Linked DNA regions of Styela clava. The protein of the gene in region 1 purifies or fractionates together with the protein of each later gene. This does not show direct contact. Links are inferred from orthologs where the notes say so. Each region holds a gene or a part of one and is shown on either strand. Other genes may lie near its edges. The genes, in order: serine/threonine-protein kinase stk11-like and COP9 signalosome complex subunit 4-like.

The links.
Region 2: the proteins of serine/threonine-protein kinase stk11-like (region 1) and COP9 signalosome complex subunit 4-like purify together in Homo sapiens (affinity purification with mass spectrometry; 4 studies listed by BioGRID and IntAct, with this or other methods). This does not show direct contact. The link is inferred for Styela clava from reciprocal best matches to the Homo sapiens genes STK11 and COPS4.

Annotation. Positions count from the first base shown.
Region 1 is NC_135250.1:8,662,144-8,679,584, forward strand, and holds the start of serine/threonine-protein kinase stk11-like, read left to right. Parts: upstream 1-8,699; 5' UTR 8,700-8,825; coding exon 8,826-8,980; intron 8,981-11,617; coding exon 11,618-11,821; intron 11,822-13,030; coding exon 13,031-13,204; intron 13,205-16,077; coding exon 16,078-16,210; intron 16,211-16,852; coding exon 16,853-16,989; intron 16,990-17,441. Other genes in the region: protein ILRUN-like, read left to right, coding at 2,050-2,934. UniProt on the Homo sapiens protein: Tumor suppressor serine/threonine-protein kinase that controls the activity of AMP-activated protein kinase (AMPK) family members, thereby playing a role in various processes such as cell metabolism, cell polarity, apoptosis and DNA damage response.
Region 2 is NC_135260.1:11,651,064-11,667,957, reverse strand, and holds COP9 signalosome complex subunit 4-like, read left to right. Parts: upstream 1-3,960; 5' UTR 3,961-4,179; coding exon 4,180-4,256; intron 4,257-4,970; coding exon 4,971-5,050; intron 5,051-5,160; coding exon 5,161-5,312; intron 5,313-5,791; coding exon 5,792-5,917; intron 5,918-6,358; coding exon 6,359-6,490; intron 6,491-7,682; coding exon 7,683-7,843; intron 7,844-9,093; coding exon 9,094-9,254; intron 9,255-9,458; coding exon 9,459-9,574; intron 9,575-10,292; coding exon 10,293-10,377; intron 10,378-10,500; coding exon 10,501-10,640; 3' UTR 10,641-11,182; downstream 11,183-16,894. UniProt on the Homo sapiens protein: Component of the COP9 signalosome complex (CSN), a complex involved in various cellular and developmental processes.

The DNA.
Region 1 (17,441 bases):
AATGCGATTGCGTCTGGTCGTCTCGTCGAATAATCACGTTCAGCTGCTAGGTATACATTGTCGTAAGAACGTGGTTGTTCGAGTGTTTCAAATAGTGTTAGAAAACACGGGTTGAGACAAGGTAGATTCAACCAAGATAAAATTCAAAACTTAGAATTAAATATTTATAGATATAAAATGAACTTAACTGGCAAGAACAAAGTAGACCTTGCCTATGTCATCTGTCTCGTTTATTTTCTCAATCCACTTTCAACCGGCAATTTGGTTAGTAGTTAATTTTTTTCAATTGTGAAATTTGCACAAAAGTACTTCATAGTCCCTTCTTCACTAAAATCAATGGGGTATATATGCTCATTGCTAAAACCATAGATATCGGGTGATATTCGGGGGCTTTTTACGGTGAGTAACAAAGGGCTACAGTGTAGGAGCTGGAGTCGCATTTTCACATTTATAGAATTCAGCATTATTGGATTTCGATTTCATGAAACCGCTTTACTACCTTCAAATAGTTGTAGCCTACCATGTTCAGTTACTTTTTACGCTAAGTCTGAACCAGCGTTGCAGGTGTCGCCACGTGAAGACCTATCGGGGCCCCCGCGACTCCGTTCACACAATTAACGTTAACTAATTTCTTTGCACTATTTTTTGAGATGAACAATAAGCGACAACTGGCTAGCTTGGTCACGTTACTACGTATGTCTCTATGTTACGGAACTGTTTATGAACGCAGGCAGAATCGGTGTCATAACTTCTTTATGTATAAATTCAGATATGTTTTTTTTTAATTAAACCCATTTATTGTTGTTTAATCACAGAATTGGGGAATCTTCATGCACCCAATTCTGGCAACTTTGGTTGGGCAACTTGGCATTTGACTCCAACTATAATCAGCTTGGCAATATGTTTTCAATCGAATCTCCCTTCTATATTTTAATTAACGATTAAATGATCGATCAATTTGACAATGGCAACCATTACAAAATTATCAATATGGTGTGGCAAATAATTTTTTTCTTTTTCTAGTATTTATTTTTTTTTTTGTTTTGTTTACTGTATAGTATACCCTAAATTTATCGCGTTTTATTCTTACTTAAATAACTTCTCAGTGATTGAGTGTGTGTGGCTGGTGGGTGCATGTGAGCGTGTGTGAAATAACTTAATAATTTTAGGTGAGTAAACACGTACCACTTCCTCTTGGCAAAACCTCCCATCTTATATTTTGTACGTTATAAACCTTATCTAAGGTTTCGTTTGCTCCCCTGATTTCATAATCAGTTTTTATTTATTTGTTTTTATCTGTCAAATGTATTGTTATGCTGATTATGGAGTCGAAATAAACTTATTATTATTATTAATTACCGGATTGAAGAGTTCACAGTCTGACAGTGGTCAGTGGTGATATCACGTTTTCTAGTTTTTAATTTGATTTCCATTCTTGGAACAGCATGTATATTTCTGTGTGTTCGAGGACTATAATAAACTTCAAATTTCAGTGCATTTTTCTTTTCTGGCCAAAAAACAGTTACAGCTTTAGTCTATGTAAATGGGATATTTGCTTGCTTTTGCTAGATCCTGTAGTACCGTACGGTATTCCCCTATTTTTCTACTTGTTATTCTATCACTTTTGAACCTAATTTAACATAAGTCCAACAGAGATGATCATCTGTACAGTATGTGAGCAAATTAATAAAATTCGATTATTAACATTATCAGTAGTCATCTATATATCCAGTATACATGTATATCAATATCAGTAGGCTATATGTTTTTCTTGTATGTCTATTTGCCTCTAAAAAGTTGAACTGATCAGCCAAAGTGGAAAAAAAGTCTTGGATCATCATGATAATCTTAGAGCTGTTTTACCTATTTTACGATTCTAATATGTGGATACATAACTTATATAATTTTATCCCACTTTATATTCTAATCAAAATAATTCTTTGTAATATGGAATACTTCAATCATAACAAAAAATTTATATTCTGCCGAAGGGAAGCTTTCAAAAAGTTATCAAATACTATAATAATTGTATTAACTTCCACAGACCTAATGGTTCATATTCTTATGTCATTATTTGATTTCTCAGAGAAACTATATCCTAGAGGTGACAGTAAAATGGAGGTCAGTTCTGACAGTGAGATGGACTCCATCGAAAACTCACTTCTTAGTCGATTTCAAGCAATGGGAACCACAGATAAGGATGTTCTGATTTCTCAGTTTCAAAGCCTTTTAGGATTTCAGTTAAATCCCGCTGGATGTGCATTTTTTCTTGACATGACGAACTGGAATTTGCAGTCCGCAATTGGAGCATATTATGATTTTGAAGGTGCTCCGCAAAGTAAGTTGCCATCAATGACATTTATACTTGATGTTACAGTCGGTGAGGGCGAGTCCGTACCTCCAAATACAACATTTGTTAAAACATGGCGAGTGCAAAATTCCGGGAAAGAGGAATGGCCACCGGGGTGTAGTCTTCGATTTTTAGGCGGAGAAAAAATGGGAACAATTGATTCAGTTTCAGTTCCAACAGTACCTGCCGGACAAACAACAGACATTTCAATTAATTTAAGAAGTCCGGTGGAACCCGGTGTATATCAAGGGAGATGGAGAATGTATAACACCACAGGGACTCCTTTTGGTGATATTATATGGGTCATAATATCAGTTAAACAAGATGGACTTCTGGACATCACACAACAAATTTCAAGAGTTAGCTGTGACTTTGGGGAGGGTGCTTCGGTTGGGAAGAATGACCAATTTTCATCTCAAAATATGAATTCGATGGAAACCTCACCAGAAGATGACATGGCTTGTGATGATCCTCTGAATGGATTAGACTATTACAATGCAAAATTAAGCCTAAAAACATTATGTCATGCGAAAGCGCTCCTAACAAGTAAAACTAATCAATATTATGGTGCCACCAAGGTATAACAACTTTGATCATAAACTTTTTTATATAATTAATATTTATTTAATTTATTCGGATCCTTCCACTGCAACATCTTGGTTGTGTACAGTTAATTGTAAAAGTAATGTTTATTTAATGTTTTTGTTTTGTATATTTTTTCATAACCAGTTTGTGACTAGGATTTGGATGCTGGACTATTTTTTTCGGGATATCTTGCAACCCTGCATTCATCAGTACTTTTTTTTATGTTGTCTGCTATTTGTATAAAACCCCATTATTTGTATTACTGGTAGTTCTCCATCTGTCAAATCATCACACAAACGCTGATGTGAACTCATTTAACGAGGGTGCAAAATTCACAAATATTACAATGCTCTACAATCCACACCCTCACTCTTTGATTTAAACTTGAATATAATAATCCATATGAAATTGTAAAGGATGCTATTTGTTGTGCTTAATTTTATTAAAGGATCATATTAAAAGTCAGTTTCTCTGTTTGTCACAACTACTCTAACACGCAAGTTATAACTAGGAGTGTGCATGTCTTTTACTCTGTTTTGTAAAAGTTAAATATATTCTGATTTAATAAGGGAGATTAAATTTACTTTTTTACTCGAGGCTAACCCCATATGACAACTCACGTGACCAGTTCAAATTTGCTTGTTGCTGCTTTTTTGTTATGCTTTCACATCTTCAAGTTTTCAAATGCATGGATTTAAATGATGGAACTATAACAACCAACCTATGTGGATTCGAAAATTGTTTCAAATTGAAACAAAATATAGGCTTCCTGCCCATAATCTATGTTGGTTTTTAAATTCATAGCAGAGTGGTGCTGTTTGATGAGTCCATTTCCTTTTCTATATTGGCCCGATCTAAAAAGCGGTAGGCAAAATCAAGTGCTCTGTTCGTTTCCTCTTGATAATCATCATATATTGAAGTTTGGTGCACATGGAATTCATAACTTACCTTTTCTGTCCTCGACCATATTCTTGGTAACATTGTGGTACCCAAATTAAAAACTGAAAATTTGTGTTGTGTTGTTTGATTGGTAATATATTTGTAGGACTTGATTGGCAATGTGCAATTTTTCATTTCAAGAGATTTATGATGTGACACTGGAACTCCATTAATAAATCTAACATTTCTTTGTGAATATTTTTATCAAATTTTAGAAGCTATTGTAAATTTATATTTTTAGACATATTGAAGTATGTTTAGCATAAATTTATTAGATATTTTATCTAATTGGTTTCAAACAATAAATGAAGTCTGCATGAACAACTTATTTTCAAATCAAAATGCGGTTTTTGACGTATTGAAAACTAGATTTGTGATATCTATATTTACCATTTGAATTTCCTATATACAACCATTTTGAAAGAACATTTTAAACTGGATATGTTTCACTGTCCTGTGAATTGCTGAGCTATGGGATTTTCTACTTGTTTAGTACCTATGGGCTTTAACCCATAAATTTCTTGTGATAGGTTCTTAGTATTTTCTTGCACAGTTGTTTTACCGATTCCATACTGGTATATCAAATTTTGGTCTAGCCTTGTATTCTTGACACCATAATATTCGCAAATTTCTACAATGTCTGAAAAATATATAATTACAAGCATTTCACTCTTTTGTATCCTGTGTGTTGGTTAAAATTTAAACAATCATAAACATCTGTGGAAATTGAAGACATTTAGATCTGCTGTCCAATCAAAATATGATCGGAAAGCTATAAAATTGTGAAAAAACTTATCGCTGGAAAAGAATGAAAATAGCGCAAGAAAAATATTGATTCAAATTAGCAATCACAGTATAAGTTAGAGGACATTCTCGCAAAACAAATTAGGAGACAGGCGAAACTTAAATTCCCGAATGGAAGCCAAAGTTTTTTTAAATTCCGAGTCAAATGTATATCTCAACCGACTCCACCTCCTTGGTAGTTAATTACTATAGTCCAAAAATGTTATTGATAATTATCGAAAAATAAATATACCACCTGTACGTTTGTTTGTTCACAACCTCACCTCCGTTCAATGAGGCGGTCTAATAATACACAAGCAGTGTTATCCAATAGGAGAATCTTTGGAAAACGGAGTATTCGAATTTCATCGGACCAAAGAAGTGTTAGTATAAAGTACAGAGTACACACGATGACTAAGCGGTATGGCGTCTCGTGTCGAGCGTTAGAAATACGCTTAAAATCACACCTCTGACAACCCTGCTGCAGCTCGCGGAATCGAATCCCGCTGGGAGATAATCATGCGCGAGAGGATTGCTAGAGATAGACTCCTTGCCGTCGCATGGCGATTGAACGGTTACGGCTTCCACTATCATGATATCGATGCATATGAATCAAATAACTGGCTAACTAATGTAGAATAGGATTGTAGTATTTCTTGAAGTAATCGCGAGGTACGATTCGTGTGAGTTTCAAATAATTTTATGACGCTAGCCTTTTCAGTAACGGGAGAGCGCATTTTAGCAACAACAACAAAAAATTTGGTACTCCTGAAGTATGCGCACCAAGATGTTGCACAACCTGAACCCTAACCTGGTATACAAGCTGAGTTCAGGTTTTGCGTTCAGTAGGTTCAAAATAATTTTGTGTAAAATAAAAAAAACAGATAAACACTTTTAACTCTTTTTTATAGCTTCGTCAAAGGTTTTTACCTCGTTTCCGTATCATCATTGATAATTGTATATGCTGCGTGAATATCATAGTTAATAAATGTTTTCGTTCTGGTATTTCAATATCAAAATAACCTAGAAAAGTGCAGAATATTTCTATTATTTTTTATTTATCTCTTTATCAAAAGATATTGTGACCTGATGACGGAGCAATCTGTGCTTTACAATTCACTCTTGTCATTCGTATATTTTTCAGAAACTTTAATGTTGATTCTTTTGAATGCTCAAATAGGAAAAATTAACTCTGGCTCTAATTTTTAAACTGCCATTTCCTTAATCTGAACCGTTCTAGACGACCTTGTACTGAATGATAGAAGTTATGGTTCAAGTTAAAAAAAAGAAACTTGCTAAATGTGAATGTGAATTTTTGAACTGTCATTATAACAAATCGAAAATTTCAAATTTCAAATATTCGCTAATCAGTAGTTTCAATATATAAATATTATTTTGAGGAACCGAACGAGACATTGTTTCGACTTGAACGAATAGCTGCGACCAATGACATTAAATGACATTGTTTCATGTCATTGCTGCGACCAACAACTAACGTTGCGACTGTTATGATTAAAATCTGTTCTAAAATAGAGCATGTTTAAAAACACGTGTAAGATTATGAAGACGAATTTTGGAAGTTTTGACTTATTTACCATTTTGAAACCCGATTTGGCCAGTTCAGTGCAACTTCTGGGTGTTTCTGGAATTGGATTTTCCGACGCGTCTGTTTTATTTTCTTATTTGTAGGCTATTTCATCCAATTCTTCGTAAGCAGAGTGTATTCACGAGTCTGAAGCCATTGGTGGCCTCCGTCATTCCTACTGAAACACACGAAATGATGATAAAATGATTACTGTAAATAATAATTATATGTTTTAGCTTGAATTTATGATAGTGTTGTGTTGTAGGTTGGTGTTGATGCGGAAGCGATAGCGCTTATCGTTACTTCATCAGAAACTCACTCAGCCTTTTCAGCCCCACCTCGCAGCGGTAATAACGTTCGTGACTCCATGCGTCGCTATAGCTTTTTGCGGCGATCCTGCAGCGTTTCGTTCGTAGGTACTTGACAATTCGACGTGGGCACGGCAGTAGGCGCAGCCGCCCCGAGACCTCGTTTTATATTACTGTATTACGGTGTACGTTAAAAAGCGTAAGTTCTGATTCTCAAGATCTTTAAACTAAAATTGTAAAGATTACCGGTTATTTACTAATCACAGAATCGGGCTTACCAATACTGCAGTAGTCTATACAGTGATAAGATCGTAATTTTCTTATTACAATATTGAGACAAGGGTGCTGTAATTGAGAAGTATGCACGCTTAATGCTCAAGATGCTGTATACGTATATCATTGTTGAATATAGCGTAGGAATCTGATAATTGAATGGCAAATTGGGATCCAATTCAGCAATTTGAGTCAATTTCCTAACACAGTACAGCAGTAACAGCTTCTAGTCAAAAGTTGAGTCCTCTTCATTGAGTCATACAGTCATAAGTCAGTGGGTTGTGTAAATCCCATGAATAGCAGTAAATATGAGTCTGATTAACTAACCTCACACATGCATTGGGGTCAATCTATTTTGTAAATCAAACTGGGTTTCAATCATGTATTGACAACTAGGGCTGGGCATTTTCGAATACCGTACCTGATGATTTCAGAATCGAATTGAATATTTTTATCGAATCGAATCTCGAATACTTGGGAGTCAATTATATGCTAATTTTTATTGTAATTGGCTCTGTCAACAAATGTATTACTGAAAACATGAATAAATCACTAAGACAGATTGTGGAGCGTTCACACACAATGAAAAGCACTTATTTATCAATAACTCGATAAGAAAATAGTCATATGTCAGAATTGTATTGAAAATTATGGCTTCAAAAAAAAAATTGGGTAATTCACCTCGACCACTGACGGAAAGAAAGAAAAATAAGATGGCGGCGAATCAAAATTTCGATTGAACCGATTTGAAAATTTACTATTCGAATCGATTCGGATATTCGATTCGAAGTGCCCAGCCCTATTGACAACATTCACATTGCCTTCCAAACTGCCTGTTTTGAGGTATTGTTGCTAGTGCCCGATATGTGAATGCTGCTACAATCTGGGAAAGTTTTGGTTATTTCAATTCAGTAATCTACATATTTTACTGCGGGTTTACTTTCAGACTTTAGGGGTTAGTCAAGTCTTACTGTCTTAGTTCTAGTTAAGTCTTTGCCATCCTAAACTACGTACAATGCTCAGCAATGTTAAAATAGTAGAAAAAGGGACTGCATTATCCATTTATTGAGAATGATTTACTGACACCCTCTTCTGGCTATTGCCAGATTATGCAGTGAACAAACATATCTATCCAGACCAAATTCTTCATGCTATCTATACCGCCATTGTTGTTTGATTCATAAAGGGATGTCTATTGATTGAATAGGGATATCTAAAATATATACTTTGAACAAAGTTCGAAATATTAACATTCAGCAATCAAAAAAGTTATTTTCATTATTGCCTAATTTGCCATTTTTGCTCATGTTATAATTTGACACAAAATACAGAAATAGATCCATTCGGAATTTAAAAGAGTATTGATTGTAAGTGAGCGCAATACAGAATAGCAAGTTTGTCATCAATATTCATTATTTTTTGATTAATGAAGCCATTGTGTGGTCGATTTTCATGCCTCATTAAACCCATTTAAGCAGCTGCCATAGTTTGGAAGGACTGGAATCTTTTCGGGATTGTCCGCCTATTCTGTTATGCCCTGGGTTAGGTGGTGGGCATGATTTCCATGTTATGTATATGGTGGTGTACAAGTTGATAATAATGCATAAGAGCATATTGCGATGCTGCTTTGTACATCGTGATGACATTTTACGCCTTGTGATAATTTAATTTTTCAAGTGCTATTATGGGCTTGTTACATTGTGTATGACAGAAAGGTTCACATTTTTTTTAACTGACTGGCATTATTTATGTTCTGTGAAACATCTGTGATAAAGTTTTGCCAATTTTCAGTTCATTTACAAGTTTCAGAATATTACAAGTAGCCTATTTGACCTGTCCAATATGATACCATTTATTTTTATATTTTCAATGTTTACAGTGTATAGCATGCTTCATTTTTTGTCGTATTAGTATCATATTCATCTCAATACCAATTAAAGTTAATGACTCAATAAGTTGAAATTCCCTGTCAGTAGCTGCCGTTAGACTGCTGGCAAGTGAAATGTCTCATGGAGAACTTGCAGTTCTTGATAACAGGATTGAAAATCAGATGTCAGGTGCTACATTTGACGTTGGTGGATCGGAAGATGAATATCGACCAGACGTTCAAGAACATACTATGTGGATAAATCCAGATCATGGAGCCCTTTTTACAAGGTCAATTGAGTTGGTTTAATAAATTGTTTATTTGATTATGAATATGCACATATATAGGAATTATTTGTAATAACCAATTATTTTTCACTGTGTCTGCATGTATTGGTCATCAATAAAACCTTATCTAGGATTCCTGCTGTTTTGCCAATTAAAATGCCTAATATCTTCTTTAGCTTTACTTTTATGCATTACATATCCTTGTGGATTTTAGGAACATAGATGATCTCGGCAAAATTTCTATCTATACTAATTACTATGTATCCACTGTAAATAAAAATGGCGTGAATAAGAGGGTGTTAAAAAGGAAATATCAACAAAGGATTTTTATTTTATGAATAGCGTTTCTTGGTGTACATATTTGCATTTATGATGTAACAATGTTGCTGTTAAACAACTGTGCTAAATTCGTGCTAGGGAATTGCTGCATATTGCATGAGGTAGTACTATATCGAACATTTGTGAAAATTGTAATCTTTTACCTCAATATATTCCAACTTTCAGACGATTTGCCAAATTGCATGTCATAGCTCCTCAAAATATCTCGGAATATGCCAACCTTATGAACATCCACCCACCCTAAAATCATGGGGCAGACACCTTTACCAAAATATTCTAAACTTATGGAATTTGACATTGACATATAATATGCTAATTGGCAACGCTGGTCTAATATACTTTTCATGCACTTCTAACCAATGGGTTCAATGAAGCGATGTTGCCATGTTGATTTGCTAATCTGATAAAGCCAATCCTGAATTCACATTAGTAATTATTAAACGATTTGTAAATTCTTTTCAAGCAATTTATTGTATCTACTTTTTCTGTTCCATGTCATTTATTGACATAGTGCATTCCTACCCATACAGTATTATGTCGTCAGTATTTCAAGCGATAAAGAAACAGCATTTGGATCATTTCAACTCCCTATAGATCTATTTTCACTCATGTTAATCTTGTGGTTCAATGTCTTATCATCACCTGGTATGTCTCATTGCCTGAACCATAATTAAAAACAGCAATTGCATAACATTAGTATTTCCACAGGGATGTGTACAGAGATCCACATAATGATGAATGACTCTTAGCATGCGCATAAACGTTACCATTTGTATATTTGCTGTATTACTGATTCATTTTTATTAAGCAGTGGTTCCCAATTGTGTGTCGCGGCGCATTAGGGATAATTTTCGAATGGGTCACAAAATACCCATCTAATTTCCAAAATTTTTTTATCTGTCTGTATTTGAAACTTGACATAAAATGATAAAATTTTCAAGAAAATAGTACTGCTAACTATATCGGACATTCAGCTGCGATATATGATCGTTTATGTGCACAAAAATAAACTCACATAATGTAAGGATTATTGAATGTTTACAAATAGAAACTTTTTTTGTCTTAGTTGTTGATAGAGTGAAATTTTTTTTTCAATGTGGTTTGTATTGTTGAAATGTGTTTCGAGTTTGAAGTGTTTGAGAACCTATTATACAAAGTGACAATCTTTGTGGATATGACCATTTTTGTATGAATACTTCATATTCAAGTGTTGGAGTAGATAAAAAAAACCTTGTGGTAAAACAGGCAAACATCATTGTTAAAATTCTGATGCTAAATTTATTTTGTGCATAATCAATGCCCACAGTCTTTACTGTGTATAAGCCATTTGTAGCCATTTATAAGCTTGTTACACGACGCAGATTTAATTACAGCAGAAAAAGTGTGTGAATATCTTATATGAAGTTCTAATTAACAATATAAATTTTTAAATTTATATAAAAGTATGTGTATAAATATCATAGTTTAAAGAGTTTGACAGCTCAACAATGAGCTAAAATTTTATGAAACAGTAATTCTATCTTTTCGTTTAATAAGGTATATTTGGAATATGTAAATATTAAATTTTAAAGTGCAATCATTAAAAGTGACTTTGCAAATATACTTTATATTTCTTTAAATTGAAATATGTATCGTATGTAACTTGGCGATAACTTTTGGGGATATGAGCCTGCTATTCTGTTATTGATCATCTTTAAATGATTTATAGAATATATAATCCTAATGATTTTGGGTGGATGTTTCGGCTAGAGAATTGATTCGTAAAGAACAACTGCGAAAATCCAATTACAATATGAGGAAATTCTGTGGGTTTTAAAACTTTACCGAGTATTCTGAAACAAGTAAAGATCAATTTGGGCAGAGCCACTTTGAAAAACCATTTCACTTCAGGGAGCAAGTTTCATGGTTTCAGCAGAATATACATTTTGTTTAAACTTATCGCCATGATAATGAAGTCGCTATTTTAGGGTTCTTAAACTTTCATGATCAGATCCATGACCAGTTATTTATTCGCCATGTTAACACCACAATGCCAACAAATGAGAGAATGAACGCATTACGTAAAATAATTAGACAAATCACAGTTAATCTACAATAAATCAATTTAGTAATTGCTAATACTACCTAACCTAAACGTGCTTCAATCGTGGCCCCCAATAGGAATGAGGGCCCAGATTTAGAAACCCTCGGTTAGCTATTGTCGCGAAAATGATAGATAACTACTCGACTAGCAACATGTCATAATCTAAATTTTCTTATTGATACATTGATAACTAATAATAATATACCATTTTTCAACAGAGTTGATTCTGCGGATTTAATTTTCAATCAAAGAAAACAAGCAAAAATTTATGGAAAATATTTATTCGGTGATATGCTTGGTGAAGGATCATATGGAAAAGTGAAAGAAGTCCTGGACACGGAAACTCTATGTAGAAGGGCAGTGAAGATCGTCAAGAAACGAAAGCTGAAAAGAATTCCAAATGGAGAAGCGAACGTAAAAAAGTAAGTTGAATTTATTTTTTTCAAATTCTTTCTGCATACATAATATTTAATTAACTGATGAATTTCAGAGCAGTTATGTGGAATTCATCTTGTCATGGCTGTTTTTATGATCGTATTGACATGAAATGTTTAACTTTCGTTTTAATCGATGTTTACCAATGTACAATAATACACCATAATTCTTTCTACTGGGAGTCTCAGTAGCTCTTGGCATTTTAGTGGTCGACATTATCTTCGCTTACAGACTAAACTCTTCGATTTCTGCGGTTGTGCGTGTGACTTTGCTTTGAGCAAATTTCAAGAAAATCAATTGAAATTTAAAAAAAGGATAATATCATGTTTTAGTTGTATTTATCGACAATATATTCACTTGTTAGACTTTTAGGTCAAGTCGTTTTTATAACCTTCTCTAAGTTCTTTCTTTTAATGAAAAATGACATATTATGTTTATACTTTTGAAATAAATTGGAATATCTATATAATTATTTTAGCATTAAAATTTGAATTGGCCAATCTTCTGTTATGTTGTTATTTTGTATCCTGAACCTATTTGCTTTTGTTCGCAAACGCCTGTTTGTTTTGTTCATGTCTTGTATCCGCAAATATTTACTCCTCTTGGTAAATTCAGTGCCGGTAATTTAACATGGGCAAATATTTTTGCTGCTAAATAAAATTGATTTGTTATTATGTGGAATGTGAATTTGAGCGTTTGCGGCTTCGTGGACCTATAATTGATTACAGACATAGTACATAATTGAGCCTACCTACCGGTAAATATTTTTAAAATAGGGTATTGAATTCGGAAAGATAAATTACTGACACATTCAAAGTGCACCCAACAGGACGACCCTGTTCGAAGCGAAATATGTGAATAATTGTCGTATAAAAGATTTAAAAATGAAGAAATTTTCTGTTCTTCCACATTTGTATGGAAAACGGGTCGAAAAACATGCCGCTTCAATATAACATAAGAAACTACTGTCTTTTTGTGAAGTTTATCGTTTTCATGGTTCAGGAGAGCTCATTCAATTTATTATGCCATGGATGAGATGGTTGGCATGAATAGACCACCGAATGGGTCGGTGCTCAAATCAGAAATCTATCACCTGCATTTTTAACAATAGTTGGAATGTATGAACCATTAAACCATTAACTGTTGTGTATTACCAAATATCAAAAATGAATAACACCAAAATTTTCATTTTGAAGGGAAATAGAGCTCTTGCACAAACTACATCACAAAAACGTTATTGAACTTGTCGAAGTTATGTACAACAAGGAAAAACAAAAGTTATACATGGTCATGGAATTCTGTGTTGCAAACGTACAAGAAATGCTTGACAGCGCACCACAAAAGAAATTCCCTGTCTGGCAAAGCCACAAGTATGTTGATTGAATTCCTTTGAATCTGTGTTAGATAAATCGCATGCTGTTAACAGTGTGAAAAAATTATGTATTGCATCTTCAATCAAGTGATTTATCGTTAATATTTTTGGATTGGTAGGAAACTAGTTGTCTTTCTGGCTTGAGTAGATCAATTTTCTATCATTTTTCATTGAAATTTGGATAAACTTATTTGTTCAAAGCCACACAAGCCGCAGACAGAATAACAGTTCTTTAAAATATTCAAAATTAGCAAATGTTATAATTTCACTACAAGAGTCGACATTTCCAATTTAGAATTCAGGGCTTTTATAATAAGATCTTTCAATATATGGAATGTTTCAGTATGCCAAAAATCAGGTTTTTCAACTTATGATATCACAATTAGCCTAAAAACCTGCTACCAATTAACCAGGTAAAAAACCTGCCTAGATAATGGTATCATATTGTAAGAAGTATAAGGTGTTTTACCTGGTTTTAAGCTTTTTATATGAAAACATGAATGACATAACGCATGTGTTATTCTAAACCTTTTTTTGGTATTTGGTAAGATTAGATTTATTTTGTTTTGTTCGTACTACGCCATTCATTCATATGGAAAATAAGAATAAATTTTATGACTTAATAATCATATTCACCTTACTGTATATATCTAGAAAGCTGTTTTAAGACAAACCAAGATAGTAACGGAATATTATTATTTCTTCATTTTGAAAATCCCAGCTATATTTGGTGCTGTTTATTGTATTCAACAAAGGTCAAAATTCATTTGTTACACTTCGGTCACATATTTCGGTATTACCCATACATTTCAGATAGAGATAGAAGAAGTATTTAGTACCTTGTTACTCAAAGCAACAGTGTGAAATATATAAATTTGATTAACAGATGTACATTTAATGTTATGTACTGGGTCTAAAGTTTCGAGTTTAAAAGTTTAATTGCGTGATAATTATCTCACCAATGCAGAAAATGACTTGCACTATTAACTTTTTAATATCGGTAGCTGCAATTGTAATATATGGGGTATGGCCATCCGGTTTTGCTCATTTCGTCTTATCATTTTCAATTTGCTGGAATATGTTTGAAATGAACTCTTTTTCAGTTTCATCATACTTCTGTCTGTTCCCATTTTGTATATGCCCCATTGATTGAGTAGGTAATTCATCAATGGTTTATTTTGACAGAATAATGATTGCACACTGATAACTTACTGCACTGGGACTTGAATAACAAATTAGAAATTTAATTACTGGTACATTTGTATTTACTGATATGTGTAATTGATTTTTGAATATTTATAACAAGTTACAACTCCATTTAGAGAAACAAAATTTGAGCCCATGAAGTGGTTATCCAATATCTCTGTTCTACTTAACTGTTAAACCTAAAAATCAATAAATATTTTTAATATTTTCCTCTTTCAAATATGTATTGATTGCATGCAAGTGCCTGGATTCAAATTTTATCCTTCCTCATTAGTATCAAGTCTTGCATCACCAAAGTGTTATTCTCATAAGGGAAATTAATTAGTTACATTTGATTGGTCATGACTAAATTGGCTTCATTAATTTTTTATGTTCTATCTGCTGATTCGATTAGAGGAGTGATAAAAGAAATAATTACTTGTGTGTACCAGGGTGTAATGATTATTGTGTTAAACTCATCACTGGGGTCACCTAGCCGAGGTTCAAAGTGATTTGAGCTGGTTTAGTTCATTTCAGTTCACGACTGAAATCTGTGGATTCAACTTTGTAGAAATATCAAATCTGAAATTTCAATCACTCCAAAATTTGAAATACCCAGTAACCTTGAATTTAAACTTGTTGCAACACCAATCGTAATTGATCTGGTCTAGATTAATACGTCATGAATTTTCCTAAATGTTTTCATTTTTTTTCTAAATGTAAAGATTGTGCATGCATTTGCAACTTGTTTTTGGAAAATCATTGATAGTTCAAATTTAAATTCCACATCCCAGCAATACTTTTTGAAGAGATTTGTTTTGACTTTATTCCAAAATTTTTCTATTCAACGAAACATACTCTGTCCCTGCTACTTATCGTACTCAGTCTGTTCAAAGCACCATTAATCTATTACTGTATTCTCAAAGCTATATTTGTGGTGCATACGTGATCAATACCATATACCTGTTCTATATTGGCATGAAGTTGTAATGATTTTGTTTAAATTCTAACTCTAGTAATTTGCATTCAGCTTTTAGCTAGATATCATAATCTACCAAAGGTAGCAGTTGGGTATATCAGTGAAAATTATGAAATAATGAATCTCAAAACACTAATTGTCAAAATGAGATTTAGAATCCTGCAATTTTCGGTATTATATAAAAATATATCTCTCATCAGTCTCATATATTCTGGTAGTTGCAATTTTCACCTTTAAAAACAAACGTTCAACTTAATCAATCAAAAGTTGGTTTTGGAAAATTAGGTTAAAACCCACTGTTGTATTTAAACTTGTACCACTTTGAGAGAGAGAGATCTGAAAAAATAAGAATATCATACCAATAACAACAACACAGACAGACCCTGAACTCGTAAAGAACTAAAATAAGGAAAATCTGAATAAAATTATGGCCTAACCCTAACCTGGTACACATACTACGGGAGTACCCATTTTTGACATTCACACTTTTATCGTGGAACTCCCAAACTGATAAATTATGCCTATTAACACCTACGGTACCTATAAGTGCCTAAACTCATGGTATTTGAGTACCATGATGCGATAGAGATAAGGTGTGACCTTTAAAAATGTTATCGTTTTTATTTACCATTATACAAGAATTTCATATAAAAATAATGGTATTCCGTAGTTTCCTTCTTTATTCAATTCTTTTTTTTTACTTTCAGCTATTTCTGTCAACTTATCATTGGTTTGAGTTATTTGCACAGTCAGCATATTGTACATAAAGATATCAAGCCTGGAAATCTATTGATCGCCTGTGATTCTACATTAAAGATATCAGATTTAGGAGTCGCAGAAGTATGTATATGATAGCAATATCAATGTTTATTTTGTTGGTTGTGGTTGGATAATCGGATAAAATATGTAGCCTATGGAATGTAGAAACTGTGATGAACTGATGTTTTAAATGTGGAATGTGGTAAAGCTTAGTTTACATATGAGGAAAGCTAATAGAACAGCTTTAATAATGTGGAAAGCTGCCGCTTTTTGTACCATTGCCAATTCAGGTTAAAAATGAGAGCTTTTATTGTTTTGTCATCATCACCTGCTTTTTTGGCAATTGCATCTTGCATGTAATGAACATAGATACAAGATGTTATTAGGTTAAGCACAACTAAGTATTTAGATCGCTACGATTTTTCAGAATTTTCAGAAGTTTTGCTACGGCCACTGCTATCTATGCGGTCATAGCGGGGCTTGTACTCTCCGTACAGCCTATGCTTATTCCAGATATAAATTAGTGTATTTAGCCAGACTCTCGAAATAAAATTACTTTACTTGTTATTTTTGTACATACCAGAGTTGGAAGTTAATAAATTGTAAAGGCTGTATTATTGTTCATTATCCTTATTTTCTACTCAGACTGGGCCTCAATCCGTTTTGCATAACCGGGCGTCGCTATTTATTCAATCAGCTATTTTTCATTTCAATAAATTTCAGGCCCTGAATATGTTCTCACAAGATGATAAGTGTCGGACTTCTCAAGGTTCTCCGGCATTTCAACCTCCTGAAATTGCAAACGGACACGAATTTTTTCCTGGTTTTAAAGTCGATATATGGTCAAGTGGTGTCACACTGTAAGTATATATTTTAATGTAGTGGTATTCGTGTTAAAGTTGGAATACCTCATGTCTTAGCATCACAATTATGCAATCATTAGCAGTGTTTGTGGTCAGAAATGCCATATATAGTACAGATGTACTTATATATTAGGTACCGGTAGTTTATTTACAAAAGTACTGTTTTACAATAAACATTGCAAAGATAAACATATTTCCAAAAACATGGGATTCCCCCATGCACTACATTGGACAACATGCAACTTCTGGTAATTAATTTTATTTATTTTTCTCCCTTCGATTCTATACGATCATACAAAAAATGTGGTTCGAATCCTATCTCCCAATTTAATTATTATCATTCCAATGGGATTTTAAATCTGAGGGGTGGTTTAGAATTGATTTACTACTCATATTTAAATCTTTCTTTGTCTTCTATGGCCCGATGTATGAATTATATAGTTACAGTT
Region 2 (16,894 bases), on another chromosome or scaffold:
GGCTATTCCAAGTGACGCTACTGGACAATTTTAGAAATTTTGCATGTTGTTAGATGCAATAGCCTATTTTTTACATTTCCAGCTACAAGTTTTGTGTTATTGTCCAATCAGTTGCTTTATGGGGTTGGAACAAAATTGCACAAAACTTACATACAAGACTTACTTAGTGGATATAAAATATATATTAAAATATAGCGAGACTCCACAGGACAGCAAATCCACCATGCATTACCGTTTTACTGTGTTGATGGTGCAGTAGCTGAAGAACCCCTCTATGAGTTGCTTAATAAGTAACTTACCGTAATGTAAAACTGTAGATCCATGCCAATAATGGGCACAATGTATGTTACTCTACCGGCATGACTCTACAGAACATTTGCCCCATTTTGGAACAGCACCCTCTATCATCTCTTAAAATTCTGGTAATAAATTGTTAGATAGATGAAGACATGTCCTACAGCACTGCAAACACCTAGGCTTTATTGACTTAAGTTCCATTAGTGGTGGTACCCTAAAAGTCTCATTGCACGCAGCGCATTAGGAGCAGCGCATTCAGTGCATCTATTTCTGTATTTGAAATTAAATAACTGTACCACATAATCAAACATTTCATGTTACGATTCATCACAAAACGTGCCTATTATATCAAAATTTCGGTGCTCCTGAAGTATGCGCACCAAGATGTCGCATAACCTGAACCCTAACCTGGTACACAATCTGAATTCAGGTTGTGCGCCATCTTGGTGCGCACACTTCAGGACAAGTGCAGTTTCAAGTATTTTGTGGCGTCTACAGCTGCCGCAAAACCATGGCGGGATTTCCAAACCATGGCCACTAAGACCAAACCCACGGCGACTGACTTTTTAGCTGCCACAAACCAATAGCGAGCTGCCGTGGTTGCGGCAGCAAATCGAATACCACCAATTTTACTGCCGTAACCACGGCAGGTCGGCTGTAATAGCAGGGCTGCCCCTAATTTGCTGATGGTGATAAATACTTGGTGAGTTGGAATGTTTTTCTTATGGATACAGTTTGGATGGATTTGGGGTTAGGGTTTAAGTAGATATAATTTCGCATGATAAACTAAAATATGGTACATGAATTTGTAAATATACCGGTAATAGCGCCATAAAACCATGGCAGGAGACGGCGTGGTACGTTCGTGGCAGGAGCTGCCATGAAGTGGTAAGAACTGCGCCTCCTTCAGGAGGTCCAAAATTTCTTTATTTCAGGCCACTTTGTGTAAATTATCAAAAACCTGGGTGTAATTTTAAATTTATCCATGAAATGAATGCAGTCCAATAACCTTCAATTGTCTTTTGATATAAAATATACAAAACAATTACTTTCACTTTTTTCACAATTACTTTTTTTTATAAATTGATGAAATTTAACATTTGCTTGGAATGGCCCATATACAGATATATGATTGAGAATACCTGAATTCAAATATAAATCTATAAAAATTTCAATTTCAAAGGAAAAAAACATAAATAAAATGGTGATGGCAAGATCACTAGGAAAAAAATATAAACAAGATACTGAGATATGTTACAGATATACAAGGAAAAAAAGATCATTATGTCAAATTGGTTATTGGGCTTACAATGTTAAAAATATCAATTTCCCCCTCCCCCCAGGTACTGTAAAAAGTAGCCTACTGAAGTAAATTTGAATCTGAAAACAGCTTACATAAATTACTGGAGAATTATCATGATTCAATCTAAAACGAGAAATAAAATTAGGAAATAAAAAAAAGAAAAATATATAAATACAGATAAAAATCAGTAGAGAAAATGCCCATGTTTGATCCCTGATAATACAATAAAAGTTAAATTAAGTTCTCATTCTCACATACTCAAGGGCCTGAATAGAAAATGATATGCTGATCTTATTGCAGAATTGGAACTAACTCTGAAAGGCTGATTTAACTTACAGGTTTTGGGAAAATAACAATCTTCATGCTCAGCTAATAATATTTTTGTTTCAAATTTAGTATGATGAAATACTGAAATAGGATATGGTATTTTGAACTCTGTTATCCAGTTATCAGGTCTTGGCCAGTCTGGATTTCATGGCCTTTTTGAACGAGAAATCGGGCGTGCAATCAGAAATTCCCGCGTGCAAATAAGAATTCCTGGCGTGCAATTATAGCTCACGACGTGCAAAACAACTGCACTCGCGTGCAACTGACTTCGACATCAGATACCTCTCAATACATCCGCGTAAAATTACCGGTATCGGATAAAAAATACGTTGAATCAGAGAAAAAATGGACGTTTGACCTTTGACCCCAAACATTATTTCTACAGTTTGTCGCCAATTTTGAGAGTGTTTGTGCGACTTTGGATACCGGTACTGTTTAGTACATCCGCGTAAAATTATTGGATAAAAAATACGTTGAACCAGAGCAAAATGGACATACTTAGTCATTAATTTTGGTAGTGTTTTTACGTAGAATTAATGGATAAAAAATACGTCAAATTAGAGCAAAATGGACGTTTGACCTTTGACCCCAAACATTATTTTCATACTTTGTCACTAATTTTGGGAGTGTTTGAGCAACTTTAGATACCGGTACTGTTCAGTACATTCGTGTAAAATTATTGTATAAAAAATACGCTGAATCAGAGCCGTACTTGGCCATTGGTGCGGAGGCGATCTTTTCGTCCATAACTATTCTCACGGGATTCCTATTTCCTATCATTCAACACGATATGGACCTTTCCCCGAGCATCGACTTCCTTGTTTACTTCGTGGCTTTGGCCAATCAGCAAGATGCAAAAAAGGACGTAACAATGAGAGGAATTTTTCGCGGGTCAAAGGTTGGGGAAAGGTCCATTGTCTTTTTGCTTCGCAATATTTCGATCAGACCAAATCTTGCAAGCTGGTATTTGTCGACAATTGTGGAGTTATAATATTTTGGCATCTTTATATTACTGGATTATTGATTTTAAAACCATTTAAACCGATTTACATTGGTGAGCAATTGCAAATTTTCGGCGTGCAAAATTGATTTCGCTCGCGTGCATTTTTGCGGAGCGCTAGCGCCCTCGGGCGTGCACCTGCCATGGAATCCAGTCTGGGGTCTTGGTACAAAAAAGCAAACCCAACCGAAAATTCGCAAACGTTTACAGGTTTAATCGAGACTGTAAGTATAAGTTTATTTCGACTCCATAATCAGCATAACAGTAAAATGATTGGTAAATAAATAAGAACTGATTATGAAATCCGGAGACAGGATGAACAAACAATAATAGGCTACAGTAATAATTTGATAAACGTAACCTATCCTGACCTCACCGTCGTGTGGCTAACGTTAACTATACTAACATAAATCGAATTTTTTTAAATATATGACAGATAACGATAGATTCAAAAATTTCTACAGTAACGAAACATATAATAACTTATCGTATCGTATCCCCCAAAACACCCTGTTTCTCCAACTGCAGCAGAACTACACCAAGTCAACGACATTACGACACGCGTAAAAACCAAAGACGTGTAGACGAAGTCATACGCCAGCAGCAGAGAATGAGCGATTGGTCTCGTGTTCGACAGGAATAAGCACCAATAAATGTTTGAAAATTACAACAGGGTGGCAGGTTCAAGTCCATTAATTAACATAATATTCTTAGTGTAGCAATGATAGACATCATATACATTGATAGAAAATATACGTAACAAAATATCCCCATAAAACAAACAAAAACAGTTTGATCGATTTTGCGATTATTGCTTCGGTTCTTCAGTTCGAAAAGTGTGTTGGGAATATTAGTTATTGACTTAAAGTTAAAAGTTTTGTTTAAATTGTTCTATTTTATTATTTGAAAACCAGTTACAACCATTAACTGCAACCACGCTGTGTTGTACAAATGTATTTTCCCCGACCTTTGACACCAGAAATTTTCTTCAATATTTTTCGGTATTATATTCCAGTGTTCACAATCGCATAGTTTGTGGAAATTAACCTCCGTTCCTCTTTCTCAGTTCAGTAGTCACTGCTAGTGCTTCATAGAAAAAACACCCCCTCTACTCTATTGCTAAATATAAATTTTCAGTCCTGAGAGTTTCAACGGATTTGAGCATTTATTGAGTATGTAGAAAAATTTAGTTCTTGATTCCGATATTATCAGTTCTGTTAAAGAGAAAAAGTCTATCCGAATAAAAAGATATATGGCAGCCAACATTCGCGCTGATTTAGCTGTTCTCAATAATGCTGCCAGCAGTTCACATAGAGATTTATCTGAAAGGTGAGATAAATTTATGCTTGCAAATGTAACTAGTGATCATCTTCTGACTACTGGACTAAGCAATGTATTTTATTGAATCACACAATTAACATGATTCAAATGATATCTATCAATTTTGTCTTACTCTGCCTTGGCATATTGTTCATTTGAAGTTGTTCAATATTTATCTGAATATACTGATATACAATTACCTAGTTAAGCTAGTAAGGAATCCATGTTTTTCTTGCGTTTTGCTGTTGGTGGTATAGAATTAATATATTTACCGTTATCTTTGGGCTAGTTGGGATAAGATTTACTTTCTTTACATTTTTATGCCCTCAAACTTTCTCAATCTCTACTATTCTGTCATTATTATAAAATGACATAGGTTTTCTATTCATAAATTGCTTCTGGTTATGTTTTGTCTCCACAGACAATGTGTATTTCTCAATGCTGCAATGTGTACTTCCATTATTGTTTTTTCAAGTTTTTTTGTGAAAATAAATTCTTCCTTTCCTCAAATTTTCAAGCTTATCAAACGGCATATTTTCCTCAGTCCATAGAAAAAGTGTGGTAATCTGATAGTAACAGAGACAAAGAACTGTGCTAGCTCACAGTAAATGCATTGGAGTCTTGAAAATATTATTGCAATCCCTTCACCTGTCTGCCTGTGTATTAGTCATCAATCATAAATAAACATATTTCAGGACATGTCTATATTTTTATACATTTCAGATATCAACACATATTAGAAGCATGCTTCAAGTTGGTTGATAATGAAAAAGTTTCCGCATTGAAGATGTTTATAGATGCAAGTTAGTATTGCTGAATATAAATTTCAACTTGAGTACTGCGAATATATGCATGTTAGGCCCTTTATATGTAATTATCCGTTTACCTTATTTTAGTTCTTATTGATTTTTAGTGGTGAATGAAAATGTGAGTCAAATAGTATCTCGTCAATTGATGACAGAATTTTGCCAACATCTATCTCAGCTTAATAATGCTATGTGTAAAGAAGTTTGTCATTTTGCACTGGATCGAATTCAACCAAGAGTAATTTCATTCGAAGAACAGGTATTTTTATCAAGTTCATGAAAAATGATTGACAAAGGTTAGATATAAACTGGGATGTAATCTATTTTCAGTCGTTTAGCATGAATATTTGTTATCATTCCTATGCCTTTCTAAATTAAGTCTGTGTTTGAACCCCCTTTTATTTTTTTCTTTCACCCTTATTACACCTGGAGTAACTCCTTGAAATATAACATCAATTTTTTTTTTAATGGTATTTAAACCAACTGATATATATCCTATTCTGTTTAGTTGGCTATATGGTTATCTATCATGAAGTTTAAAACTGTGTCCTTCCCTGGCATCAGGGTAGTTTTAGCGTGCAGGCAAAATGTATCTACGTAGTAGTAGGCTACATGTTTTAAATTTCAAATTCAAATAATGTAATAAGAACTCAAGTTCATGAACCTATCAAGGTTTCATATATTTGTTTTTATATAAAGGTACACGTCTCATAAAAACATCTTTAAAATACTATTCAGGTTGCTCAAATCAGACAACATTTAGCAAAAGTTTATGAAGATGAAGAATCATGGAAAGACGCAGCTACAATTCTTGTTGGAATTAACATTGAATCAGGACAGAAACAATATGATCATGATTATAAGGTAACTTTCAAAATATGAAATACCCAGTTTCAGCTGTGTAACTTGAAAAAGTTGATAATGAACTATATGGCTGTGATTATGGGTCTGAACATGACTTTTCTTTTTTCATCATTGAAATTTCCCTCAATTATTATTCGCCTTGGGTTAGTTTGTTATCAGTGAGATACGATACCCAGTGTTCTTAAAACTTTCTTCATCACAATCCACTTGGCACAGCTAATTTTTTTGCAACCCCCAGGAACTGAAATGAGTAAAATTTAATAATACAGAAAATATTGAAAAAAATAATAAAATTCTCGCACCAAAGATCAAATCTTGCCTCCATTTGTTTCCAAATGTGACTGATATTTTATTTCAACATAAGTTAGTGCAGAAAAGATTTTACTGCGACCCCCATTTAGCCTTTTTTCTAAGTATAATACCTGTACTTTCTTATTTCAGTTAGAAACATACTTGAAAATTGCGAGATTATTTTTGGAAGATGATGATCCAGTACAGGCAGAAACCTATATCAATAGAGCATCTATGCTACAAAATGAAACCAAAAATGAGCAATTACAAATCCATTATAAGGTGAGGTTCTTACTATATAGATAAAGAAAAAAGATAAATTTACAGCGGATTCATACCTCGGACTGGTTGAACGAAATCTTGACTTCCTACTCTAGCCTTGAATTGCAAGAAACCCAAGTTTTCATAATGAAAACTTTTCAATTCATTACCTCAGCGGTTTCCAAACCTTTTGTTTGTGCGGCGCCATCGAAAAAGAATTGCTGCTTTCATATGTGTACTTTATGTCTTTTGAAGATTGTAAACATGTGTAGGCTTGAAGAATAAAGACAAAAAGTCAATACTAAAAAAATCACCCATGCTCGTTAACTCTGTACAGCAGATAATTCATGACATTGCATTGTGTGTCTACCTCTATTGTTGCGTGACAATAAAGGCAGACACTATGAAACAGAAAGTAAACAGCATAGAAATGTGAAATGTATTATTTGTTTATTCATATAAACAGCATTTAAAAAAAGAAACAAAACATTTTTAATAAATACAACAACAGAAGTGGAGTATTCAATCATATATTAGTTATATTTAACATATTTATGTTAATTTTCGGGGCGCACTTAGAAATCGCCACGGCGCACCCTTTGGGAACCGCTGACTTTGTTGAGAATGTTTATTTAACCTGATGGTTCATGAGTTTCAATTGTTTTCGAATTTTAAATTCCGATACCATCCTATAAAAATCCGTAGTTCCAACTCCCAACTCTGTACAATTCAAAATATCGACTTCAGACTCGAGTAGGTTTGAAAATAAGGCCCCATATCCTACTTCATAATCAGTAGGAATGTAGAACGCCAACTCCACTTCTCTGATCCTAACTGCAAGTTTTGGTGCTCCCGAAATATGTGCACCAAGATGGCGCACAACCTGAACATAATATGTGTACCAGGTTAGGGTTATCAGGTTGTGCGCCATCTGGTGCACATACTTGTGGAGCGCCCTAGTTTTAATGATTTTCACATCAATGCTAGTTTTCTGAGCAAAAGAATTAAATGAACCCTAAAAAATTAAAAACTTTGTTGAGTTCAATTGGTATTTGCTGATGCTTGCTAACTTTCTTCTGATTTGAGTTTCCTTTCCCCTACACCTCATGGCTTATGATCTCTCTTGTACCAAATTTATGAAAATGCAATTTGAAAAGTTGAAGTATGTTATTATATCAATATCAATGTCCATATCAAATCATATGTTATTCAGGTATGTTATGCAAGAGTGTTAGATTACCGCAGAAAGTTTATTGAAGCTGCTCAACGATACAATGAATTATCATATCGAACTACGATACATGAGGACGAAAGAACGAAAGCATTAGAAAAAGCTTTACACTGTGCAATATTGGCTCCAGCTGGCCAGCAAAGGTAAATTACTCCATCAGGTTATAATCTATGTATCATATTATACTTCAGGGTGGTCCAAACCGCTGCCTGCCGACACATATTGTGCGGCCCGCAGAACAATTTTAGTGTGCAGTGTTGTGCACTAAATCATTGGCAGATATTTGTATTTTTTGGCAGAACATTTTTGAGTTATTTTAAACTATTCCCGCGAACTGGGAATAGCCCTTTTCCTAATCCCGATGTTGGGATTCATGTTTGTTTCAATGTTGTTTTTATAAACGTCAATACGGTGCCAGTATGGGAATGACGGCCTGTGATCGGTATAAGATGATGGATTGTCTTGTGCAGACAGGACCATGCCGATGAGATGGGTCGTGCTTTTTATCAAAAATTCGTACCTTGAGCTCGCGTCAAGCAACTCCTCATTTGGAGAGCTGTTTTGTGCCTTTATTTTATTAAAGCACTTCTCTATTTTCAAGCGTTGGCCATGTGGCTCGGCTGACTTAGAGCCAAGCAATCCAGTTTTTTTTTAACTGGGTCCGGAGTTCCAACTTAGACGAACTTGGTTGTTCTTTGACAATAGCACCAAGCCTGCTCTTTCCACAAGTAATGAACTTAGTCAAATATAACAATTCATCATACAATGAGTGTAAAAAAAGGTGACCGAGGTAAACGCAATTCCTAACCCACAACAACTTTTAACCACAGTGTCTGGTGTGTTTTCAAGTAATATCTGTCACGAAAGAATATAATTTGAAGCGACAATACAAAACCGAACACAAGAAAGAATACCGAAAATACCACTGTATTTCTCGAGGAGCAGTTTTAAAATAACTAAATGCTTTATATATCTACCTTATTAAAAAACTGATTAGGACGAAAAACTCTTTTCTAAATATACGTAAAGTCGCGATGTTTAGATCAATTTTGGGTTTTTTCTGACCGCGACTCGCAAAACATCCACAAAAAATTTTGCGGCCCGCCGACCTCTCAACCTTGGACCACCCTGTTATGCTTTATATATAATCTTTTCTTCGATTGTATGCCTTATAAGCCGGTGCGCCTAATGTATGGATCAGGTAGTTCTTTTTGCTTATTGCCTACAATCCAAACGAGTATTGTTGTGTCTTATTGCCCGATGCGCTATATGTATGAATAAAAACCCAATCTAAGCAATTGACAGTGCGCTATTATGTTCGATTTATTGTATCTATTTTTGAAATACTACGATACTTGTCTGATGAAAGTATGATTTTATTTTAATCTTTAAGATCAAGAATGTTGGCAACTTTATTCAAAGATGAACGATGTCAGCAATTATCTTCATTCGGTATATTAGAGAAGATGTATTTAGACAGAATAATTCGTGCCGATGAATTAGAAGAATTCGCCAACCAGTTGATGCCTCATCAAAAAGCAACAACAGCAGATGGTGAGATTTTTTTTTTTGAAAATCCTCTTTTAATGAATGTGTTGAACCATTTTAGGTGAAAATTTTTTTAATATTTAGAATTTCAGCAAATGGTTTTGAAGATTATAGTCAGTAGTGTTTTGACATCTCCCTCTGCCTTGAAACTCCATATTTTCACAATTATATGATGAAAAATAAAATACAGTTATGACTTATATTTCACAGGAACAAGTATTCTTGATCGTGCTGTCACTGAACACAATCTCCTTTCTGCCAGCAAATTGTATAACAATATTACATTTGAGGGCCTCGGCGCTCTCCTTGAGATATCAGCAGATAAGGTATTATTCTGTTTGTCATTAGAATATAATATAAACGAGAGATTTCTAGATTGAACATTACCTTGGACACTTATACACGATGCTCAATTTCACAAATACAGGTTATTCTTTAAAGCAGGGCTTCCCAACCTGATTGTCACACCCTGCTGAGGGCCGTGCACGGATTTTAGGGGGCGCAAAGAGTACACCAATTCCACACATAGTACTCTATGTATTGTACTTTTTTAGACTTTTGATTGGAAACACAATTATTAAAACTGGTGCAAAACATGAATTTTACAATTTCAAGAGAATACATGGGATCAGAGAATGCTAACCTTGATTGTAAAACCCGAGAAGATGTGCGCTTGCATAACAATGCTGACTAAACAGAGGTTGCTGAAAACATTATATATTAAAAAGTGGTTGCGAGATTAAAAATTTAGGAAGCCCTGTTTCAAAGCTATATTGATTTATATATCTATCCCAGTGTTGAATAGAAGTACCGAAGCCCCAAGTCGAGCCAATCTCTGAGTTAAGTTTCACTGGTGGTTAGGTGATGGCAAGTTGGAGTCTTTTAATTTAGATGGCTTGAGTCTTTGATAAATGGTGATATGAGTCCAACTCTGGTTGATTTAATGACTCAGAAAACATCCCAAACACTGATCCATCCCCACTGCAGTTAACATACACCTATGTGAAGCTGTGATAACCTTTTGTTTGCATTGATGCTTTTTAGGCAGAAAAAATTGCATCACAGATGATAAGTGAAAACAGAATGAGTGGTTATATTGATCAGATTGATGGCATTGTCCATTTTGAAAGTAAGCTTGTTTATATTATTTTACTCTGCTATCGTATAGCATTAGCAATATACTCAAATGCAGTCAATTGCATTATTCAAGATGAAAAATAAAATTAATCAAATGTACCATCTATTTTTAAAGCAAGGGAAATGTTACCAATGTGGGACACTCAAATTCAATCGTTATGTTTGGAACTCAATTCTCTGGTTGATAAAATAACAGCAGCACATCCAGATTGGGCCGCAGAAACAATGGAACAATTAGTTTCACCCAAAGACTGATATTGAAGATTACGCATTATGAATGTGTCTACAAGTTTAAGAGCTGTGAGCAACTTAACTCAACTCTGTGCAAAGCCGTTCAGAATTTCACCCTTTGTATCGAAGTAGAGGTTCACAGTCAATGTTGAAATTCCATTGTTTCAGTAAAGTTTTGCATATTTATATTCAATATTTGATTACTGCAATACCTAGTAATCAATGCTTTCAATTTGTTTCGCAAAGCCTGTGGTAATAGAATGATATTTTTGGCCTTTGAGACTCTTTTTTTTGCGATAATCTGGACTTATGGAACCATAATAGTTTCTAAAATGAGAAACATTGCAAAAAATATACTTAAAACACATGGATGACTTTACTTATTGTTAGAAGCCAGTTTGTTGGTTTGTTAGTCAGCAACGAATCACGATGGATATAATGTTTTGTATCAGAAACCTCTCTTCAATGAGTAGAATTTTTCTGTTAAAGCTGAGCCATTGCAATTTGTTGAATCATAATCCGGCTGTGACCCGTGAAGGTTTATATAAATATATTGATTACTATGATAGGATTTTCATATTTGTCATGGGTGACGCTGTCTGATTGGGATCCTACAGATTCGATATAATTTTTCGTCTCTATCCCGGGCTTCCAATGCGAAAATTTTCACTTTTATTGAACATTTTCTCTTCTGTTATGCTGTTAATGGGAGTCTAGATATATTTGTAGGTTTGAATGCGGTATCGTAATTGCTCACGGTATCGACAGAAGGGTTCGGAAGGTAGAAGAGTCCTTAGAAGATCAATATATAGGCTTTTTGGGTATATTTTTGAGCCTCTTCGAGGTAGGACTGCAACGCTGCGGACGACTTTCCGCCATTTATTATCTTATGCACAATCCTGGTGTGATTATCAGCAATATGACTGATTTATCCTGTTTTACATGGATTTCTGTCATGAGAATAGTCTCGAAATAATCGAGAAAGAACAAAAATCCCACTTCGAAAAACGAACATCGTAAGATAATAAAGAAAGATGCGATTTTTACGAGTGATATGAAAATTGTGTGTTCCTTTTTAAATGCGATACTCGAAAAACAATTGTACAATCTATGCTATAATTTTATCTGTCAAAATAATAACTTATAAGTGCGAGTTGTTCATGTGACCAATGACATTAAACAACATGATAGGCAACTCTGACGTCACTCCATAAGACTACATGCGAAAGATTGTATTTCATGATACGCTCCAATGCACATATTTCTCGTCGCCTTTCGCGACCGTTTTCCGCTTGCTTTTGCTAATCGGCGTCCTCTTTACGTTTAGTACCTGCCTTTTTGCGCCTGTAACGAAAGAAAATAATCTCTATATCTAAGAAGTTTTGCTCACTTGGAAAGCTGGAATGACATACAAGCTGTAAAGAGTAATTCTGGACATCATAGACTTTTTTTTATCAGAGAAGATTACAAACACGATAGAGTAAAGATTTGTGTGGGACATTTTGCAGATAATGACAAAGTTCAAAGTTAGTAATTTTAATGTTTGCGCTTAAACATTGAAATTTCATTTAAAGATGTGTCACACAAAACAGCAAAACTGTTTTTACTTCTCTTAACGGTGCTGTGATACAATTCCATAACACAAAGTTTGCACCTATCGAACTTGCTTTAGTAGGTGAATTTATTACACATTGTTAGACAAATTTATTGTGAGGAATTTCGCATGTAATTCTCATTGATTGGTGGCTGTTTATAATTCCTATTAATTGTGAATTCTGATTATAACAAAGAATTTACTGGCACATTTTTTTTGGTCAATACTCCAAGCTGAGGTAATAAACAAGACAATACATTTATGTCATCTGGAAGCAAAATATGCACACTAATTAAAAGTTTGACACATTGAGATAATACATCATTACAGAAAATACAAGTTAAAGATATGTATGACCATCACACGGTAATTAAAATTAAAAAAAAAATTATTAGGGGCTGTGGAGTATGAAAAGTTCAAGACAAAGAAAAGAACAAAAGTTCATAGCCCATGAACTCTCAATTTTGCCTCCATTGCTTTGTGAAGGCCAATATATTCCCAGTGGCTGAATTGGTTTACCTTTATGATAGCAACGATTTCGTATTTAATACGGCAAATTTTTTTTTCAATTCAATTGAAGTGATATTATTTCCCAAAGCAATGCTTGAATTGTCTAGAATAGATCAGTGGTGTCAAACTCATGGGTTTTCGAGAGCCGCATTGCATGTTGGAAATTATAAAAAGTGCCGCAAACAATTTTTGATAATGTATACTTGAAAGATATTTTCAAGATAGTTTTAGTTTGTGGCATATATTAGGATGCAACTAAACAGTTGGATTAAGTTTTATTATTTTCTTTAATTTCAAATGCAATTTCATGTTAATATTTGCATTCCACTATTATTGCAAGTTACTGTATTTATTACAAAAAATCATAAAATTTTATGTACAACCATCAAAATCATTTTTGAACAAGCTTTGGATAAGGAAAGAATAATACATACACTAAAAAAATGACTCAATCTAAATATATGGACCTAAAATTAACAAAATATCTAAAATATAAACTCAATGTTTTTTGACGTTTGGCATCTTTTTTGTGTCACCAGCATACTAAAGCCAGGATGAAATAATTTTATAGTACCAACTCTAACTAACGAGGTCACATGATCATGGGTTAATCTGGATCTTTGCGAATGTTTAATTAATTCCAGTAATGCAAAAAAGTTACTTTTATCATTTCATGTATAGATCAGTAAAAAAACAAATGACAGATTTTTTCGACAAGACATTTCGCGCCACATTGCATGGCATAGGATTGCTTGAATTATTATTGATATTTAGTAACAAAAAAGTTGTATAATTATATTAATATACAAACACATGGAAATTTTCTGTTCGAAGTTGGTCTTCGAATTTGTCATATTGACTGCTGAGCTTATTGTGTTTTTCATTGTACTGATGGAAATATGACAAATTAAACAATGTGCTTCAGAGAATTTTGTGAAATGCAGAAATATTGCAACTCCCATTTTCTTCGAAAATGCCACCTTCTTCATGTACTTTGCGTTTAATTTAATAACTCAAGTGTTTTATTCAAGTATTCTTTTGCTAGCTTGATGTGTATTCTTAAATGGGTTAAAATGTGAACAAAAAAAATTAATTTTTCAAAACTACTTTTAGTAAATTGTTTTCTGTGTGAATATTCAATTTCACTTCAAAAAGTTTGAAAAATCTGTTACATTTAGATAAAAAAAACTTCCAAAATACTTTTACAATTATTGTTAAGCTTTCGAGGCCGCACTGGAAGTTCTCTGGGGCCGCGAGTTTGGTCTAGATTGAAGTTGTCCAAAATATATACCAGTATTTTATCATGAATCATGATTATACCCTTTCCTGAATTTTTTCTATAGTACTACCAAAAGTTGATGAACCAAATATAACATAGGTGTAGTGACCCGTAATCCTCATTTTTCAAAGCTGTTTTAAGTATGCCTGGCATGTTTTGTGCTTTTTCACAAAGAAGACCGCTTATGCAATCTTACGCATTAGAATTTTTAGTTATTTTCCTCAAGCCTTGCAGGTTGTAGGGGCCATATACAACTCTACCGGAGGGTCAAATGCTTTTGCATGCCTTCATAGGTTGTTCTTCTATTGCAAACATTTATGGAGTATTCTAATTATATTTCTTGGAATCACACTGTCACTGATATGTCGCCAGACTTCTTCTGATATCTCCCCTTCTGCTACAGATGTCCTGTGAATAAATAATAGGAAATTGAGATTAGACGAATAGTTGAAAGTTTTGCTTTATGTCGGCTTAATTTTTTGATTAATATACTTACTATTTTTGCTATTGCCTCTTGTGCTGCAGGAGTCTCACAATGCTTAGACAGGTTTGTCCACAACTTTCACATCTGAATAAAGAGAGGAGATTTATTAATTTTCGTTAAGAATAAATAAAGCAGTCTATATGACTTAGAATGGAAAAGCTAATAAATCCAATATCTCATGTTTAATGTAAAAAATGTTTTACTGAATTTGGTATATAAATCAACTAATAAAAGGGTTTAGTCAGAAAATTACAAGCATTCGTGGCTCTAAATACTTGAGAGATCATACTATACAATATAGACCGGTATGAGTAAAATGTTAGGTGAACTTGTTAACCCTTTGATTCAATACGCAAATAAAAGTGAATGAGCAATAGTATGCTACAGCAATGAGTATATATTTCTACACTGATTAGAAAAATCTAAATGGAGGTGCATGAACTATTTGAAACCATAAAGGGTAAGTAAATATGCAATTTCGGCAAATGGGCAACTACGTACCGTATTGATTTGATAACTTCGTAGTATTTGACAAAAGCTGGCTTAACAGTGCTATGTCCGGGTGTGATATACAACAATAGTATTTACCTTACCTTTTTCCGATTTCTTTTTACCTTCAATTTTCCAAAATATCATTAAAATCGACAACAATTGTCAAAGCAGGCACGAACACCATTTGTGCTACGCCTTGAAAGCAGCACACATCCGCTCGTTTTCGTCTCGTCAAGTATGTGCATTGGAGCGTGCTATTGAATACGATCTTCGGACAAAAATGCCGGAGTTGCGCATCATGTTGTTAAATGTCATTGATGTGACTTAGTTTATTGGCGCGGCCGAGTGGCTCACCGTGCTAAGCGTTAGGAATACGCCCGCCACCGCACCTTTGATTACTCTTCGTGGGTTCGCACTTCGCAGGTTCGAATCCCATGCGGGAATGGTTATGTGTGAGAGGATCGCTGGACTCCTCGCCGCCGTAGTGTGGTTCACGTAAATAAATATGTAAATCCTATTCCATTGTAATATATTACCGGAGAAAATAGAACCTTTTAGAGGCAGACTCTTGATCCTTTGCTGTTATATCGAATTAACAAACATCACGGCTGAACACATCAACCTATTAATCCTTTCTGTTTTGGAGTCAGACCTTCCAAATAATTATTTGTTCGAATATCCGCATAGTTAGACCTAGACTTGGCCTAGACATTTAATTTCAAACAATTATTAGACACGAAATGGATCCATAGATGCGTTTCGCTATTGTGTTGTTGTTGTTAATGAATTAGTCCAATGAGCGTATATATGCTCATTGGCTGAAGCAAGGGATTTTGGCAGCGAGCAATGCGTTTTCTTAATATGCAACGAACCATTTAGCTGGACGACGTAAAAATGCAGGGAACAATACCAAAATGAGCAAATCTTTGCAAGTTTCCACTCATTGTATATATGCTCATTGATTAGTCTAAATTTGAAAAACAAAAAATATCTATATTATAAATACGAATTTAATTAGAACCCTTTTTTCTGATAATATAAAAATTATTACATATTACTTCTTTTTAGAAATCTTTTTCATCACGGACCCGTTAAATTTCCAGAAAAAAAAAGAAAAGTTGTATGAGGAACTCAAAACTATCGTTTATCTATTCTGACTGAGAATGGATCTCTTGTATAAAGCCCCCGCCAACAATGCAAAAATGCGAGATTTGACAAAAACTTTGTTGGTTTGTACATAAGATTCTGAAAATTTATTGAACCCGAAAATTTTTAGGATTGATGGGTAAAATTTCGGCCGCGAATTTAACAACAACTAACGACAGGAAGGGTTACGAGCTTATCGAACACAAAGTGTACATATTTTTGTTCAACTCTAAACTTACATTTATTCAAAGGGAAACCTTGCCTATTCCGTTTCCAACTTTCACGAGTTGTTAGCACTTGCGCGTCGCATGACATACGTATCTATCTGCCAGTTTGTCTTGTGTGCCATTACAATGGACGGGTTCGGTACCATACGAAACCACAGTCGACGCTCCCGGTAGGTTGCAAGTTTCCTGGTTTCATGCCATTGCGACTTATACTCAGTCAATAATTGTTTCGTTATGACTTTTGCTGCGGACTTACTCAAGGATCGGCACTTCGTAGGTTTGAATCACATGCGGGGTTAGTTACGCAGGTTTGCTGGACTCCTGGTCACCGCAGGGTAATTCACGTAGATGTTGGTCGGTTACGGCTTCCTTCACCATCAAGTTCATCATGCATCTGACAACTAAGAACTGGCTAACTATACCCGATCCCATTCCCGACATGATAACCGGACAAAAGACCCAATGTTCGCCATATGATTAAGCCGTCTTATCGACTTTCCTATGGGGATAAATATGTGAATCCCACCCTAGAAAATTTGTCCCAAT